Linked DNA regions of Alligator mississippiensis. The protein of the gene in region 1 binds, or shares a complex with, the protein of each later gene. Links are inferred from orthologs where the notes say so. Each region holds a gene or a part of one and is shown in the gene's direction. Other genes may lie near its edges. The genes, in order: PTH1R and PTH.

What was found.
Region 2: the proteins of PTH1R (region 1) and PTH are in contact, whole or in part, in a cryo-EM structure (PDB 9JR3), measured with the Homo sapiens proteins. The link is inferred for Alligator mississippiensis from reciprocal best matches to the Homo sapiens genes PTH1R and PTH. Residues at the interface, in NP_000307.1 of Homo sapiens: Val31, Met32, Thr33, Lys34, Glu35, Gln37, Ile38, Leu41, Glu111, Trp112, Asp113, His114, Ile115, Ile135, Tyr136, Asp137, Phe138, Arg146, Arg162, Thr163, Ala165, Tyr167, Val171, Leu174, Thr175, Glu177, Glu180, Arg181, Phe184, Leu187; in NP_000306.1 of Homo sapiens: Ser32, Val33, Ser34, Glu35, Ile36, Gln37, Leu38, Met39, His40, Asn41, Leu42, Gly43, Lys44, His45, Leu46, Asn47, Glu50, Arg51, Val52, Glu53, Trp54, Leu55, Arg56, Lys58, Leu59, Asp61, Val62, His63, Asn64, Phe65.

What each region holds. Positions count from the first base shown.
Region 1 is NC_081828.1:216,069,520-216,078,775, forward strand, and holds the start of PTH1R (parathyroid hormone/parathyroid hormone-related peptide receptor), read left to right. Parts: upstream 1-5,440; 5' UTR 5,441-5,878; coding exon 5,879-5,953; intron 5,954-9,256.
Region 2 is NC_081825.1:202,020,585-202,027,204, reverse strand, and holds PTH (parathyroid hormone), read left to right. Parts: upstream 1-4,559; coding exon 4,560-4,645; intron 4,646-5,017; coding exon 5,018-5,291; downstream 5,292-6,620. UniProt on the Homo sapiens protein: Parathyroid hormone elevates calcium level by dissolving the salts in bone and preventing their renal excretion. Acts by binding to its receptor, PTH1R, activating G protein-coupled receptor signaling.

The sequences.
Region 1 (9,256 bases):
TACAATATATAAAAAAAGTGAGGGCATGTACCCTTCGAAACACTCTTGAAGAAAGCCTGAAGAGATCCCATCATTGATCCAAGATCCTGTTTTGATATCAGACGTGGGAGCCAGGAGCCCTGGACAAGACTTCACGGCCTGATCACCCAGTGAAGTTGCATTCACAACATTTGGGGTGGTGAGCATCTGCTTTGACTAGCTACAAGCCTAAATTTTTAAACTGCTACTGCTACTTCAGTTTTAAATAGAATGGTATCTGTTAGGGTTCAATAAACTCTCTTTAGTTTAGGTCAACTGTGTCGTACTCTCCTTGCCTGGTATAAGACTGATCATAGGATCATAGGAATGCAACAAATTGGCGGAGAATGCGGGCAGCCAGGTAACGGGTGCGGACTGTGGATGTAGGTTCCCCTGTGTTGGTCAGACTGTGAATGTAAGTCCAGCAACATGGCACAATCGTTTTTGGCCTGTGAAGGGATGCAGGTCAGATCATGTCATGTGCAGATGTGTTCAGGACCAAAAACACATGCACAGTCGTTCTTGTTTGCACCAGTGTGCAAGTCCACTCAGGGGAACGGATCCATCCATCCTGTTACTAACCACAGGGGGGAAATCATAACCTCACCCATGAGCATGTCTTGAGCATGTCTCTAGTGCCCCAAACACAACTGACTATGCATGACCAGGACAGGAAGGATCATGCCACAGTCTGGGTGTTATGCCAGGACTGCAGAGATCCAGCTTCAATCTTGGAGTCTGCCCCACTCTTCTGTCGTGCCCTTGAGCAAGTAACTCAGACCTGGTCCACACTGCAAAACTCTGTTGGAGTTACCTAGGTCAGGTACGGGCAGGGGAAGAGCGCACCACCTTTTGGACATAGCAATGCTGGCATTACCCCAGCTGACGGGGCAGTGCTGTGGGTGGCTCACCAGGCATGACTTGCAGAGATGTGGCAGCAAAGGTGGCAGATGCTGCACCTGCACTAGGACGCATCGCCATTTAGCCTTTCCGAGGTAGACATGGCAGCAGGGACCCCAGTGCATAGACAAGGCCTCTGTCTCTCTGGGTTGCCATTCCCCCTCTGCCCAATGAGGATAGTCATCACTGGTAATCCCTCGCAATCGAGGAGGATTGTCTTCCATGATGACCTTATCTGTTGGTCCAAAGATGCCTGATAGGGCCAATCCACAAGTGACAGGCTCTCTTGCAACTTGGGCACGTGTTTGTATGCAGGGTGGGTGGCTCTGGATTTCTGGTTTGTCATGGGAGATACCTGTGCGTGATTTCCTTTTTCATGAAGCTGCTGCACATCAGCTTCCACGCAGTTCTTGACAGAATGGGACTTTGATCCAGTGGCAAGGAGACCAAGACAACTGGAGATCTCATTCTGCCGCAGCCTTCGTTCACCTCTGCAGCCGTTGAGGTTTTAACATCTTCTTCCACCTGCTCCGCCATTGAGGATTTGTAGATCCATGGCTGGGGGCTGGGTAGGCTTATTATAGTGGCAACCTCTACTTGCCATGTCGCAGCACTATCAAAGGATGTATGTGGCTTTTCAGGAGGGAGAGCATTGCCATCTGCTGTCCCCACCATAGCCTGGTGGTGCTGCCACTGCTTATCCATCATTTAACCTTCTCTCGTTCACCACTAACCTTCCCTAAAGGGAAGCCAATCCACTACCTGTGGACACGGTGAGAAGCAGCATGGCTCTGCCACCAGAAACAGGGAAGTTGCCTCATGTAGCCTTGTCAGTGATGGGTTAATTCTCACGGGGATGAGCTGCCATAGTGATTCTCAACCAGGGTGCCAGCAGATCTGGGTGCTGTGGGGTGCAAGGCAGTGTTAGTGCTGTTAGGTGCACGAACATGATTGACAGGTGAAACCAGAGATCCTATATATAGCACTCCCCAAGTGCCCGACTGATCCCCATCTCCTCCCCACGCTGCTGCTCTGCTTTCTGCTCCATTCCTTGTGCTCCCGGCCCAATTCGCTGCTCTGCTTTCTGTTCCCTGCCCCATCTGCTGCTGTGCTGCCTGTCCCCACCCTGATCTGTCACATGCCATGCACGGAGGCTGCCGGTGCTACTCGTGGCCTCGGTGCCACAGGTTAACCACCCTTTTCTGTAGTCAAAATACCGGTTGAAAGCTCAGAGCTGGCATTTGCTGAGGGAGCCCTGGAGTCTAACAAGGGGCCCTTGGTTGAGAATCACAGGGCTAACAGATCCAGCGGTGCTAATTAGCCAGCCTGAAGTGCCACGTGAATGCAGGAATGCTGTTCTGGATTAAGAGGTAACAGTGCATTCAAGGATGCCACTCCAGAGCAAGGTACATTTAGTGTATAGTCAGGGCCTGAGATGCTCAGGCACTGCAAGGAGCAGGGCGCTGCAACTAGCTAGGATAGAAGTCAGGGTCATGCGTGCATGTTTGCTGGTGACCCCGACCTGGTGCAGCTGGTGAACCTGATTTGCCCTGGCTTTGCCCCAGGGATGCTCCCTAGCACCAGGGCAATGGACCTGGGTATTTGACTGTCCTGATCTCCCAGTTGGTTTCCCCCACTTCTCTCTGGATCAAGCATCGTAGCATAAGGCAGGCGCACGGTAAACCAAGTCCCATTTGTGAACCTGCCCCAGCCCAGAGGAAATCAGGGGAAAGACCCCGATGGGTTTGGATCATCTCGTCTGCTCTGTCAGGGCTTGAAACTGTGTCCACACAGCCAAGGAAAAGCCAGGCCTGGCTCTCATGCAGGGCTGATCTCCTGTTTAGCACTGAAATAACAAGCGCCAAGCTGCCCTGAACCGTGGGACGGGAAAGATTAGCAATGTAGGGGTGGCCACTGACTCCTGGCTACTGTGACCGTCTGTAGACATGCAGAACCTGGGCCCCAAATATCAGCGCCAAACCCTTCAGGGGCCTCTGCGGCCCACGCCTCCCCACCTTAGCTGCCTCGGATGGAGGGAGAGGGCAGAGGCAAGAGAACGGTTAGCACGGTGCCGCTTCAGCAGTTCCCTGGCCTCTGTCTTTAATCATTAAATTCCCAGGGGCCCCGCAGGGCCCGAGCAGAGCGACCCTCTCTGCAAAGAAGCGGCGGGTGGATGCCTCCCTGTTTGTCTCCCTGCGCCAAGGCGGGCACGGAGCAAGGCCCCGCCGTCCAAAATATGTGAGCAAACACACAGAGGAGAAGTCCAGCGCCACAAGCTCCGGCTCGGCAGGCTAGCTGCAAAGACGCTATCACTTTCCCAGGGGCGGTGGGTGGGGGGGAGCCTGGAGCATTTAAGCCGGGGCCAGATTCTCCCCTCTGGAGCGAGCCAGGCCCCTCAGGCTGCAGCGGTTTTCTCCGCCAGGGCATCAAGCTCCAGCATGCATATTTGTTTAATCCACCCCATTTCTGCCCTGCACCGCCGTCCCAGGAATGTCTCTCCCAGGCCGGGGTCGGGGCTGGATTTTTGTGCATGGTCGACGTCGCCTATAGCCGGGACCCCTTCTTCGCCCTCGCCCCCATCCCACTCCTCTCCTAGAAGGGTTGCAATCAGATGCACGGCCTAAGTGGAGACATGTGTAGCCGCTGAAACCAGCAGCGAGAGCTTGCAAAGGCACCGAGCTCCCTCCTTAAGGAGTGGGAAGGTCCGAGACGGGAGGGAAGAGGGGGGTGGGAAGGGGGTGGGGGGACGGGCTAAGGGGGTGGGGTGGGAGGTGTGGACAGCTAACCCTGTGGTTCCCTGCCTGAGGATCACATGGTGGCTATGGCCAGCCAATGGGGTCCTGGCCATGCTGATTTTTATACCTGCCTCCCTGCTCTAAAACTACAGGCATTCACTGAGAGCCTCTCAGACTGGCTGAGAGGCAGAGCGGGGAGGAAGAGGTTGCATCCAGAGCTGAACTTTTTTTTTCACTTTTTTTTCCCCCTCCCTCTCTCCCTCCCTCCCTCTCTCTTACAGGAAGCCCTCTCTACCTTAGCCTTGGAAAGAGCCCCTTTTCATAAAATCAGCTGAAGGCACCCATTCACAGCCAAAAGGGGGTTGTGAAAAAAAAAAAAGCAAGCCAACCTTAAAGATTTTGCACTCAAAGAAATCAAAAAGAGAAGTGGCCAGAGGTCCACCCGGAGAAAACTTCAGGCTGCTTGTTTTTTCCCCCCTGTCTGCTCTACAAAGACCTTGATAGAGGCTCCAAAAGCTCCTTTTAAATAATAATAATAAGCAGAAATCCACTGTTTGTGCCAGAATAAATCAATCGCTGGCAAATGATTTCAGCAGGGATTAGCTAAGCGCCCTACCCCAGTCCCTCTGGAAAACACAGATCTGATCAATGGATGCCTGGTGAGCCCTTTTGGCTTAAACAAAAACTATCGCCGTTGCCAAAAAAAAGTGTGTGTCGCGGGGTGGGGCGGGGGGGAGAGTTGTGTTGATTTTTTTTTTCTTCTCCTTGAAACTTTATGAATGAAACTGGAGTAAGGATCCTGTCTTGGAAATAACACGCTGGTAAATTTTATCCTGGGAGTAAGGGGGAATGGTTAGAGGGGGTGGTCTTAGCTCACAACTCGAGAGGCGGCTGCTTGCAAAAACAGCGTGCTTCTCTTTTTTGGGGGGTGGCTTGAAGCTGCAGGGTAGATGCTGGAGGGAGGCAGCTCCACAGAGGGAATAACTGGGAGAGATCCCCCCCAAAAAGTGCCATAGCAATTTTTTGGTAATGCCCTCTCTCTGCTCTGGGTGGAAGTAAACAGGCTGTCAGCATTTTCCTCTTGCTAAGCGGAGCTAAAGCAGCAGCAGCAGCCAGCCCGAGTGAGAATCAGCAACTTTCTTTTTAATTTCGGGATCTGGGTGCTTATTCTTTCTGGGACAGGACAAGAAGCGTGCGTGTGTGTGTGTGTGTGCAGGAGAGAGGGTGCCTTTCTGCAGATGGCAAGGCGAGGAGGTCGGAAAATGTCCTGCAGTCAGTAAAAAAAAAGGGGGGGGGGGTCCTTTTTTTTTTTTTTTTGAGCGCGACATCTCAAGTCAACTCTTTAAGAAAGCAAAAAAATTCAGCCCCGCGCCTCCATGCCCTCCTCAATTGGCTTTTTGAAACTGCAGATCCTTTGAGACAGACAGGGGGGAGAGAGGCAGAGAGAGAGGGAGAAAAAATCCATCTTGCTCCCAAGGAGAGCCGGCTGCAAGCTGGAGAAGGCAGGCAGAATAAACCTATTGTGGAGCTGAAATGCACTGAAATATAGCAGCAATAGAAAAGCCCGAGCCAACAGCACCCCTCCTTGCACAAACGTAATTGCTCAGTGAAAATAGTTCCAACTTCAGGCTTTTTTTTTTAAAAAGAAAACTTGTGATTTGTTTGCTTTGAAGGGGGAGAGGGAAAAAAAAAAAAAAGGGGGCGTTTTTTTTTCCGCCCCCCTCCCTGTGAAACCTTAAAAGATAAAATTACTGGATCTAAAAATAAAGCAGTGGTTAAAACCTTTCCCCCACCCCTTACAACTCCCCCCCCCCACCCCTCCCATTTCTCCCTCTCTCTCTCTATGTGTGTTTGCATTCGACAAAGAAATGATTTGAACTTCCCACTGCCTCATAAAAAGGAAACAGAATAGCAGTTTTGACATATGGATGTGATTTCTCCGCTCTGACACAGATGCACACACACTCACAAGCCTGCTCCTTTTCACATGGACTCGTTGCCTACATGCATGAAGCGGCTGGAGGTGCTCAGCAATGAGAAGGCGAAGAGGAGGACTGGGCTGGCTTGTCATTTGCCTCTTGGGTTGAGAGCCATCCGGCCAGACCTCTGAAGGGGTCGCGGTGGAAGGACAACTCCTCTCCAAGCCCGGATCCCTGCAAGAAGCTTTCTCTCCTCCTCCCAGCTGCCCAGAGAGCTTCTTGGATGCTGCCCTAAGCGTCTTGGCTATGGGATCATATCTGGTTTATCACAGCCTGGGTTTGATCCTCTGCTGCTCCGTGCTAAGTTCTGTCTACGCGCTGGTAAGTGCCTGAAACGCTCTCCTTCTCTCTTCCCCCTTCTCCTTCTTGAGCAATTGTTTCGTGGCGCTTTCCTCGATGAGTAATTTACTGCCCGGAGATTCAGAGCGCTGGGTTTTTCAGCCTGATGTTGTGTGTCTCGCGGTGGAGCCTGGCCGCTTCTGGGCTGGGAGATGAAACGAAAATGTCTGGATTTTCCCGAAGCTTTGGCATTAGTTTTTTTGGGTTTGTTTTTTTTTTTCCCTCCCACTCCCAAAAAACAGAGAGAACATTTATAACCCAGGTATTGGAAGTATTCTCCGGGCTAGCCCCGCTCCAGTCCCTAGCCAAAGTTGTCCCGTTAACAAGAGGCCACGGTTTTGTGCCTTGCCATCCAGGACGAGGATCTGAATCTTAACGGACTCGAATTGGAGCTGAATTTCAGCAAACCCTTGCTCCGGGCTCTGGCAGGCTCTGTACAGTAGCATGCCGGATCCGCTGTGCAGTTCACAGAGTCAGCGCATGGATAGCATACCGTTTACACTCGGAGAATGAAAGTAGTATTAACTCTTTACTAGCTCAGGCTGTGTGTGGATGGGGATGTAGGTACACAGGGAGATTTCCTAGGCTGGAGATGCCCTTAAGCACCATGGACGCAGTTGTCTTCCCAAGTGGGGCCATGAGAGATTTAGGTCCCAGCTCTGCGGCCAGGGGTGACTTGTGCCTAAGCCTCCTAGGAGCCCACCCTGCCTTGTGCTCCTGTATGAGCACCTGCCTTTCTTTCCCTCTCCGCCGTTGCGGGTATCACAGTACATCCCTGTGGCTGCACAAGAGTGAACAGTAGTCGAGACAGTCACCGTTCAGGATAGGGATCAGACGTCAAACATGAGATCAGGTTGGGAAGGTCCCGGGATCTTCCCATCTCCACTCAAGCAAAGTTCCCGCTGAGTTTTGTGCGTGTCGGAGATAGGCCTGTTGCTTGGGGAAATGCGAAACAATGCAGCACTCCAGTTTTTAGGACATGTGGCAGGGTGTTGTCAATTAAAAGGCTCCTTGTTAGACAAGGAGAAAGAGCAGTCTATAAAACTCACCACCACCCAGATGTTCTGGCTATGGGCAGACTTCTCTGGCGTCATGTCTGGGATACACTGTGTATAGGCAAGAAAAAGCAGGGTCCACTCCAGGAGATGTGCTGATGTGGGGGGAGTTTGCAATAGCGATAGCTAAGGATGTTTCTTCCCGACCCCTCATGTCCAGCATCTAGCTGCACCCAAATTACCCCACTCTGTGACATCCAGACCCCTTTGGATGATAGTATACTGCAGTTGAATATGCAACACCTGCTATCCCTGCGCTGCTCAGACCTGCTTCTCTCAGAGTCGATGGCAAAATCCCCACTTCAATGGGCGTTGGTGGGATCTTGGTGCCCTGCAATTATTCAGGCTGAATTCCCCAAATACCAGCAGCAAGGATAGATAGGGGAGGATGCAGGGTCCTACCCACTTCCTTGCTTCTAGTCTCCCCTTTCCACGGCGGGTCCCTGCTACTAGCAGAAAGCACAGGGAATATCTGTGGGACCACAGGCGACACGCACAGAGAGGCTGTCTCAGTTGCCATGTCCTTGTAATGGACATTTCACCTGCAGATTATTCACAGAGCCAGTAAAAATCTCAGCAAATAGACAACTGCACATCTTAATCTCTGGGATTTGCTTCGCAGCAGGGGAGGGCTGCTCAGATACATGCATTGCACTGTGAGTGACTTCAGGGCTCGGGGGAAGGATGAACCGGGTTGTGTTTGGAGCAGGAGTAAGACCAGCAAAAGCAAAGGAATCACTTGCAGGGAGCTGCTCATTGCCTAGTGCGTTGTGTTGTCGGCATTCACGTTTGCACCCAGAGGTACTAATTCAGCCCTGGGGTTTGGTAAGGTTGTGCTCATCTAACACCGTTCATTTTAATTAGGCAGCAGAATCCCTGGCAGTGAAGTACACTTATACTAGGCTATTAGGGATCATTTCTGTAGTTCCTTCCTAGAAAAGGGTGTCAAAAAGTGATTGATCTGCCAGGGATGGTCAGTAAGGTTGTCAAAGGGGTTGCAAACTGTTCACATCTGGTGAAATTCCCCACGGCTTTGGCTTTTGCCAAGGAGGAAAGAGAGGGTCATGATCCTGAAGCTTAAAGCATTTGTCACGCTGCTGCATTGCAACCTGCAGTATGCAGCCAAACTGGAGCTGGGGCAGGATCCTGCTTTTTAACCTTCCCGCTTTGCACATGAAAAGTACCAGCTGTGCATGGCACTGACCCAGTAGAGAGCATATGGTGCTGCTCAAACCCCATAGCAGAGCCCCTGGAGGTAGCTGGATAGATACAGCAGGATCCCAGTGTATTTGGCAGCCTGCTCTTACAATGCGTTCGCTTCTGGGGTGGTGAGCAACAGCCCTGCCGCGTAACAGCGGAGGATATGCAGACAAGGGGTATCTGCAGCAGACCATACTGTGCTGAATGTGACTGGTGATCTTTAAGGTCCATGCAGAGCAAACAGGAGCTCCCTTCTTAAAGTCTGAATTAAAAGCCCCCCCCCCGGCAAGGCAGCTGATCGACTTGTGAAAGGTGCAGGGTTAAATCAGCGATTCGCAACCAGCGTGCTGTGGGGTGCCGTGATAGCCTTTGCAGGGTGCCGCACTGTTAGAAGCACAGACACCTACACACGATTCACAAGATAAACCCAGGTTCTTTGGGGAAATGTGATATAGCTTTTATTACACCCACTAAGGAGTTGGGAAAAAAATTGTTCTTTGCAAGCTTTTGGGCACAAACAGCCTTCTTCAGGTGTTTCTTATTAGACCAATTTCTTATTAGACCAACTTCACCCTTCTTATTAGACTCACTAAGTAGCTGGAAAAATTGTTCTTTGCGAGCTTTTGGGTGCAAACACCCTTCTTCAGGATGTTTGCACCCAAAAGCTTGCAAAGAACATTTTTTTTTCCAACTACTTAGTGGGTCTAATAAAAGATATCACATTTACCCAACAAACCTTGTCTGCCTATGTCCTTAGACCAACACGGCTACAACCAACACCCCCAAAAGATAAACCCAGAGCTTCCAAATAGGAAACCCGAGTCCCCCAACCCTGCTGCCCCGGCTTTTCTCAGTCCTTTGCCACGAAAGACTCACTCTAGCATTTTTTTCCATTCTCCAGAAAGGAGTGAAAGCTAAAAGCTGGCATTCCCAAGGGCTTTGAGTCTTTAAAAGGTGGAGAGCCACCGGGCTAAATGAACCTGCTTGGGCTTTGCGGCTGTGCTTCTTGAGAGGCAGAAAGGACTAGCCT
Region 2 (6,620 bases), on another chromosome or scaffold:
AAAGCCACAAATCTTGTCAATCAAATGAAGATCTAAAGAGTTTACTGACTGTCATTTTGGATCTGCATTGTGTCAAGACAGAAACATTCCTCAGACACATTTAGAAAGGTTGCCTCACCACAGTCAGCCAGTGTGTCACCATCCATCCTCCTCTTCCCTCAGCTCAGAATTCTAGTAATATTCTCCTAGGACAAGGTGATTACAATGCAGTTTAGCTGAGAGCTCCTACCAATACAAAGGATGAAATTCTAACACTGTCACTAAAACAGAAGTATGTCATTTAAATATTTTAACCTTAATTAGATTTGTAATGCATTAGAAATCTCCAGGGGTATAATTTCATGGAGATGCATATTTAATTTATGAAAATGTATTTGAATTATCTAGGGAGCAATCCAGCAGGGTGCTGTGCTTTTCTAGCTTTGTTGCAGTAATGCACTGAGCATGTGCTTAATTTTAAGTCTGTGAATGATCTCACTCAAAATAACCTTATCTCTTGCTAAAATGAATATAATTCAGAAAGGGTATTGGAGTCTGTAATTTAAAAATGTTATCATCATCCATCTCCCAAACTGAAAAAAATCTATCTTGCAGGTAATAAGAGTCTAATGATATGCAGTGACACAAATACAGGGCAAGGTGGCATTCCTCCTGAAAATGGAATAATGCAAGGTATCATCGTGCACAGTTAGTTAAAGTATCCATTCAATCAATACGTGAAGGTCAGGGAAGGGTAGTTCTGTGCTTGATCAAGCTCTTCAGAAGAAAAGGTTGTGGTCAGCTCTTCCTTCCCACAGAGTGACTCCAGCATCATCACGCCCCATCCTCCCCTTCTGAAGTGCCATTGTCTGTTGCCTACAGCTACAAAGTCTGATGTAATGGATAAGATATTACTGCAATGCACTTTGGAGTGCATCTCTGTATTGTTTCCTTTCTAAGGTCAGTAATAGACAATTTAAATAAAGCAGAATTACTCTGTTTTTACCTGTGCACAAGGTATGTTACATAGCCGTTCCACTCCCTTTGCATAGTTTCATAAACTGTAGCAGACATTTGATATTTCAAAGAACTGGAAACAACTCATAAAATAACAGCCCAGTCATATTCTCCTAAGAATAACCTCTCATTTTTTTTGCACCTATTGACAATGATTTCTCAGAACCAAATAACTTGCTATTCATGTGCCTCCTGTACAAAAGAATATTACCCCCTAGTTTAAAAAAGCTCATTATTAGTGAAGAAGGATATTTTTTAAACTTTCAGAACACAACAGCTATTTCTAGAACAAAATTTGAGCAGATATGACCTTTTACCAAGTTCTGCGCAGTGACAATGGAATAAAGCATTTATTCATAGAGCAACATTGCTCTTTGAAGAAGTTGAAAAAGCTGTTGCCTAACAGAACAGGGAGTGTTAAGAGTAGCTCTAGGTTCTATTCACAGTTCTGCTGTTGACTGACTTGGATGAGTCTAAACCTTTGTCACTCATCTTACCTCTATGTAAAATGGGGATAACAACATGTACTTCCCCTTCTGGCATGTGCTAAATCCTCTGATGACAGTTGATACGTGAGCATAAAGTCCAAACTAATAAATAAAACTCAGTTTGTAAAATACTCTTAACTATGTAACATTTCAGCTATTCCTTCTCATCTTTGTTTGCTTTCAAATATTATTTCCTCAACACAGTGTAACAAAAGTCTTCCTTCGCCATGTAAACCATATTTTGATTTTCTTAAAAATCCATAAGAAGTGATGGTGGTCTTATGATTTTTCTTCTCCAAATAAAACACACACAAATGTCCCTAGATTTGGCAAGCTGCTATAAATAAAGTATGAGCTGAAAATCAATAGGAAAGCTTGCAAGATCAAGTCTTTCAATGGTTCAACAAAAGCTCAAGTCCTGCCATGAAAGCCATGCTAATGGATTTCTCTCCCTCCATGGAGCACTGTGGAAATAGTGGCACTCCAAGTGAGTGCCTGGTTTCCCCTTATACGGTGATCTTTGCAGAAACGGGCCCTAAGAAGGTTTTTCAGATGGTCTGATCCTGGAGCCTCACTCACAAGAGTAGTCCCACTTGTTGGTAAATAAGCTGAGCTGTTCTCCTCAGTGAGGTTTTAAGAATAGGACCCTTTCTTTACAATATCTCTTCTGTAGTTCTACAACAAAATAAGAATATATACAACTTATGAAACAGCATGGTACTGCTGCTTAATACATACGCTGTAGGATCCTACCTTGCTTTCCTGGACTTCATCATTGAACCCTGAAGTGTCTGAAGTTATATAGAGAGGGTGAGATAAAGTTAGTCTTTAATATATAATATACATGTATCTATGTATATATTCATGTTAATGCTAAAATTTTATCAAAGTCTACATTGATTTAAGGTTCTTGGCAATATTTTTTAATTTTCTAAAAAATGGTATTTAATCAAGACCATGACCCAAATTCAGCAACTCTGTGGAACTACTCTCATGATTCAAGTTATAAATGTGATTAAGTACTCTGCTGAACAGGGGCCATGCTATCCAATTGAAATGATCTGTCCTCATAATTGTTACTTTGTTAGAAAGGTAAGGAATAAAAAGAATCAGCATTCCTTTTGTAAAATTAAAAAAGTGTTTCTAGTAGAAATGGCAATTTAGCTAGTTAAAAATAGCTGCGTAAATATTTCATCCATTTTACTATTTTTAATCTGTTCTATTTTGCAACAGGTGCATTCAAAGCAATTTTCAATATTGAACTGAAATTATCTTTTGAAAATACTTAGTTTTTCTTTTTAGAGAATAACGTAACAATCTGGAATAAGATATTTAGGGTCAAAATTGAATGGGTCTTGTTTAGTAAAGGCTCCTGTAACATGGGATTTACTTCATATGGTCATTGTACTCTGCTTTAAAAGGTTACTGTGTTTAGTCATCTGTGGAGTCATTAACATTTAAAGTTGATCAATAAATTCAGTCATTGATAATTGTCTTACTTGCATTTTCTTCCTAACCCAAAATCAGATTCCCCAAAAGTCAAACCTCTTCAGGGTTACCCAGGATACTTTCTTTTATCTTAAACCTTTCTTTTCTCTTTCTTTAAATGCGCAATTAACAAAACCATAAGAGGGTGGGTACATGAGGGTCAGGGGGTGTGTGCTGGGAGTGACATCAACTGAGACAATAAAAGGGCTTCTTAGTTACTTAGAAGTTCTATTTTAAAGTTACATTTAAGGGGTCCACTAGACCAATTCAGTAGTCTTTAAATATACTCGACTCCAAAGACAGTCAGCTGCTGACATATCTGAAACAGAGACCTGTTTAAGATATTACTTGGTAAGTATGCTATATTTTCTTTTATTTTACACAAGTGATTTTATTTCAAAAGATATTTCAGGCTGCACACTTTTAGTCTGTTTCTGATTATGTTAAACATATTGAATGAAAGTAAAATTATACTTTTTATGGTTGTTAACAATAGGCTATGAAATTATGAATAGTAGTATACATATATGCATATATGTACATGGAAATATACATATATATATGTATATGTATGTGTATATATATATATATATATATATATATATATATTTCCATGATTAAAATGAAACATCACTATATATATATTGTGATGTTTCATTTTGATCATGGAAAAATGTGGATTTGGGGTTACTCTTTTAATCCAAAAATTGGGGATTTTTTTCAGAGAAAACCAGGATCCCTACTGATTTCTATCCCACTTACATAAGTCAAAATGGGGAATAATACCACTGTATTCAGTAGAATTATACCAGTGTGAAACTGGCTTAGAGTAAAATCAAATTCTTAGTTCTGTCAGGAAATTCAGAAAATGCAACTCACTGGGTGCATCTAACACCAGACGCTTACTGTGCATGAGCCTAATAACACTGTGCAGTAGCATGTCACAGCAAAAACCATGCTAATAGCCTACTGTGCAGTGCTATTAGGCTACTGCACAGTAAATGTCACTAAATAACCGTGCACCAATGCTACTGCACAGTAACTCTAGGTACTGTGCATTTAGTACTTTATTAAAGAAGTACTAAACTAAATGCGCAGTATCTAAGGCTCATTAATGAACATATAAACATGCCTACTGAGAAACAGGAAACATAAAAGAATGCTACCGTGGGCATCATGGATGTACAGAAGTATTTCAAAGTACTTAAAAATATCTTTTCAATGAGATAGAAATGAATAATAAATCATAACTGTAATATTTTGCAACTAGTGATGCTTTGCATCCAAAGATGTTAAGAGTTAGGTTAGTATTATTACCACATGATAAATGGGGAAATTGAAGCTCACAGAAGGTACTAGACTTGCCAAAGTCACTGGCAAAATTAAGAATAGAAGTCAGTTCTTCACAATCCTAAATCCCTTATTCTAGTCATTACACATGAAAAACATTTCTCAGTCACTTTCTCAATATGCCTGCCTTTAAAACTTTGCCCTATGTTACCCAAATTGCTCCCTTTGCTTAATTAGTTGGAAATTATTTGAAACAGATTCATCAATTTTTGTCTTTCTTTCTGTCTTACAGCTAACATGATTTCTATTAAAGATATGACCAAGATTGCTATCATTTTATATGCAATTTGTTTCTTTACAAAGTCTGATGGAAGATCAGTGACGTAAGTATATAGTCATACATTTTTGAGCTTGGAGATGTTTTTAGCAACATACTTTATTTTCATGGTATTGATCAATTACATAAATACAATTATAATCCAAATAAATGATGGCAGTACCCAATACTTACACAATACAGACTAGACTGTTTCAAACTTCTGAGCCTCCTCACACTAATAAATCTGCTACTAATTAAATCATCATTTTTCGTTGTGCCAGATAACAACATCCCTTATTGAGTAAAAGGCCAGGTTCTGCAGCTGCATCTTGCACTGCATTGTATCCCAAAAGTTTCCAATCCAGGGCTTTGATAGAGATCAAGAATTCAGGGGAGGACCATTAAGAGGCTGTTCCGTTGTTATTCTTTCCTACAGGAAGCGGTCAGTGAGTGAGATGCAACTGATGCACAACCTGGGGGAACACCTGCATACTGTGGAGAGACAGGACTGGCTTCAGTTAAAACTGCAAGATGTGCACAGTGCACCTGAAGCGCTGGTGGATGGTAGGCCCCGAAAGAAGGATGATGTCCTGGGAGAGGTCCGAAGACGGAGGCTCCTCCCTGAGCACCTGCGGGCAGCCGTGCAAAAGAAACCCATTGATTTGGACAACGCTTATATGGATGTACTCTTCAAAACTAAATCACAGTGAAAACAGCCATAGCATTGTGTCTGTCCAAGCAAACTCTTGTCTGTAAGTCACTGAGTAAACAGGGCATTTTATTCTTATTTATTTGAATTACAGTAAAGCCTAGAGGCCCCAGGCAAGACTGCAACTCCACTGAGCAACGTAGTGCACAAACATATATCAAGAGATGTTCATAGCTTGCTCATCTCCACTGCTGCTAATTTCTGAATTTCTCTTCAATTGTGTCTCTTTTATTTTCAACATTTAATCCTTATATTTGAAAAAGACAAGCAAGCAATGAGTTGAAATATAAACAGTTCTAAAAAAGGCGAGGCTAAAAAAATAATTTAGGGCAGGATTCTGCAACTCTTACATGGAAAGTGTCTTATCTGAGGGGAATCACTGAGTCTACCCAGAGCGTATAGGTAGCTAATCAACATGACAAAAGGTGGCACACTATCTCCATAATAAATAGGGCACTAATTTTGTCAAGGCTTAAATACAGGCCTACCTTGGTGCACGTTGAGCTGTCACGTTGACGTCTCTACTCATAGGGCATAAATTAATCCAAAAATTGGTAAAGGTTAGTTACACATAAAAATAAAACAGAGCTTTAAGTTTAAAAATAGCAAAAACAAAATACACTATAAAGATAGGAAAACCAAAACAGTTTAATAATTAAAATAGGAAGGGCTAAAATTAAAACTAACTCCATAAACAGCAAGAGAGATAAGTTTTAAATAAAATTAAAATATTGAAGTGACAGTAAAAGATAACAGGCTAAGAGTAACAGCATACACCAAACAGGCAGAGGTGATGGCATGACTCTAAGCATGGGGCTAAGTAAATAAAAATGGAGATTGTTATGGATCAAATAATAATTAATAATCAAATAATTCAAATTAAAACAAATACCTTATAACATATCTTTTTTCCCTCATCTAGCGTGTTCATTATCTCTACAATTTCTGTATGCCATCTTAGACTCCACACATGACTAATTTATGTATGTGAGACCTGCAACTCTCAGAACCAAAGTGCATGTGTAGGTAGTAGGTATTAACAGGAATATGATATTTGATTGTCAAATTGCTGGGGCAGGAACCATTTGCTTGTGGAAACCATTCTCATACTGTATCAAGGAAGCTGAGACCTAAACAGGATTAAAAAAAAGATTGGATATTCATCTGGATTGCAGGAAAGCCCACAATTATATTAGGGCAGTGGTGTCAACAATACAGACTGTGGGCTGCATTTGAATGGGTCATGTGGCCCACAGGAGTTCTTGTGAGCTGGATGATCCACCTCCATGGTCTGATTTGGCCTGTGGGGCCTATGGCTGGAACTGCTGCA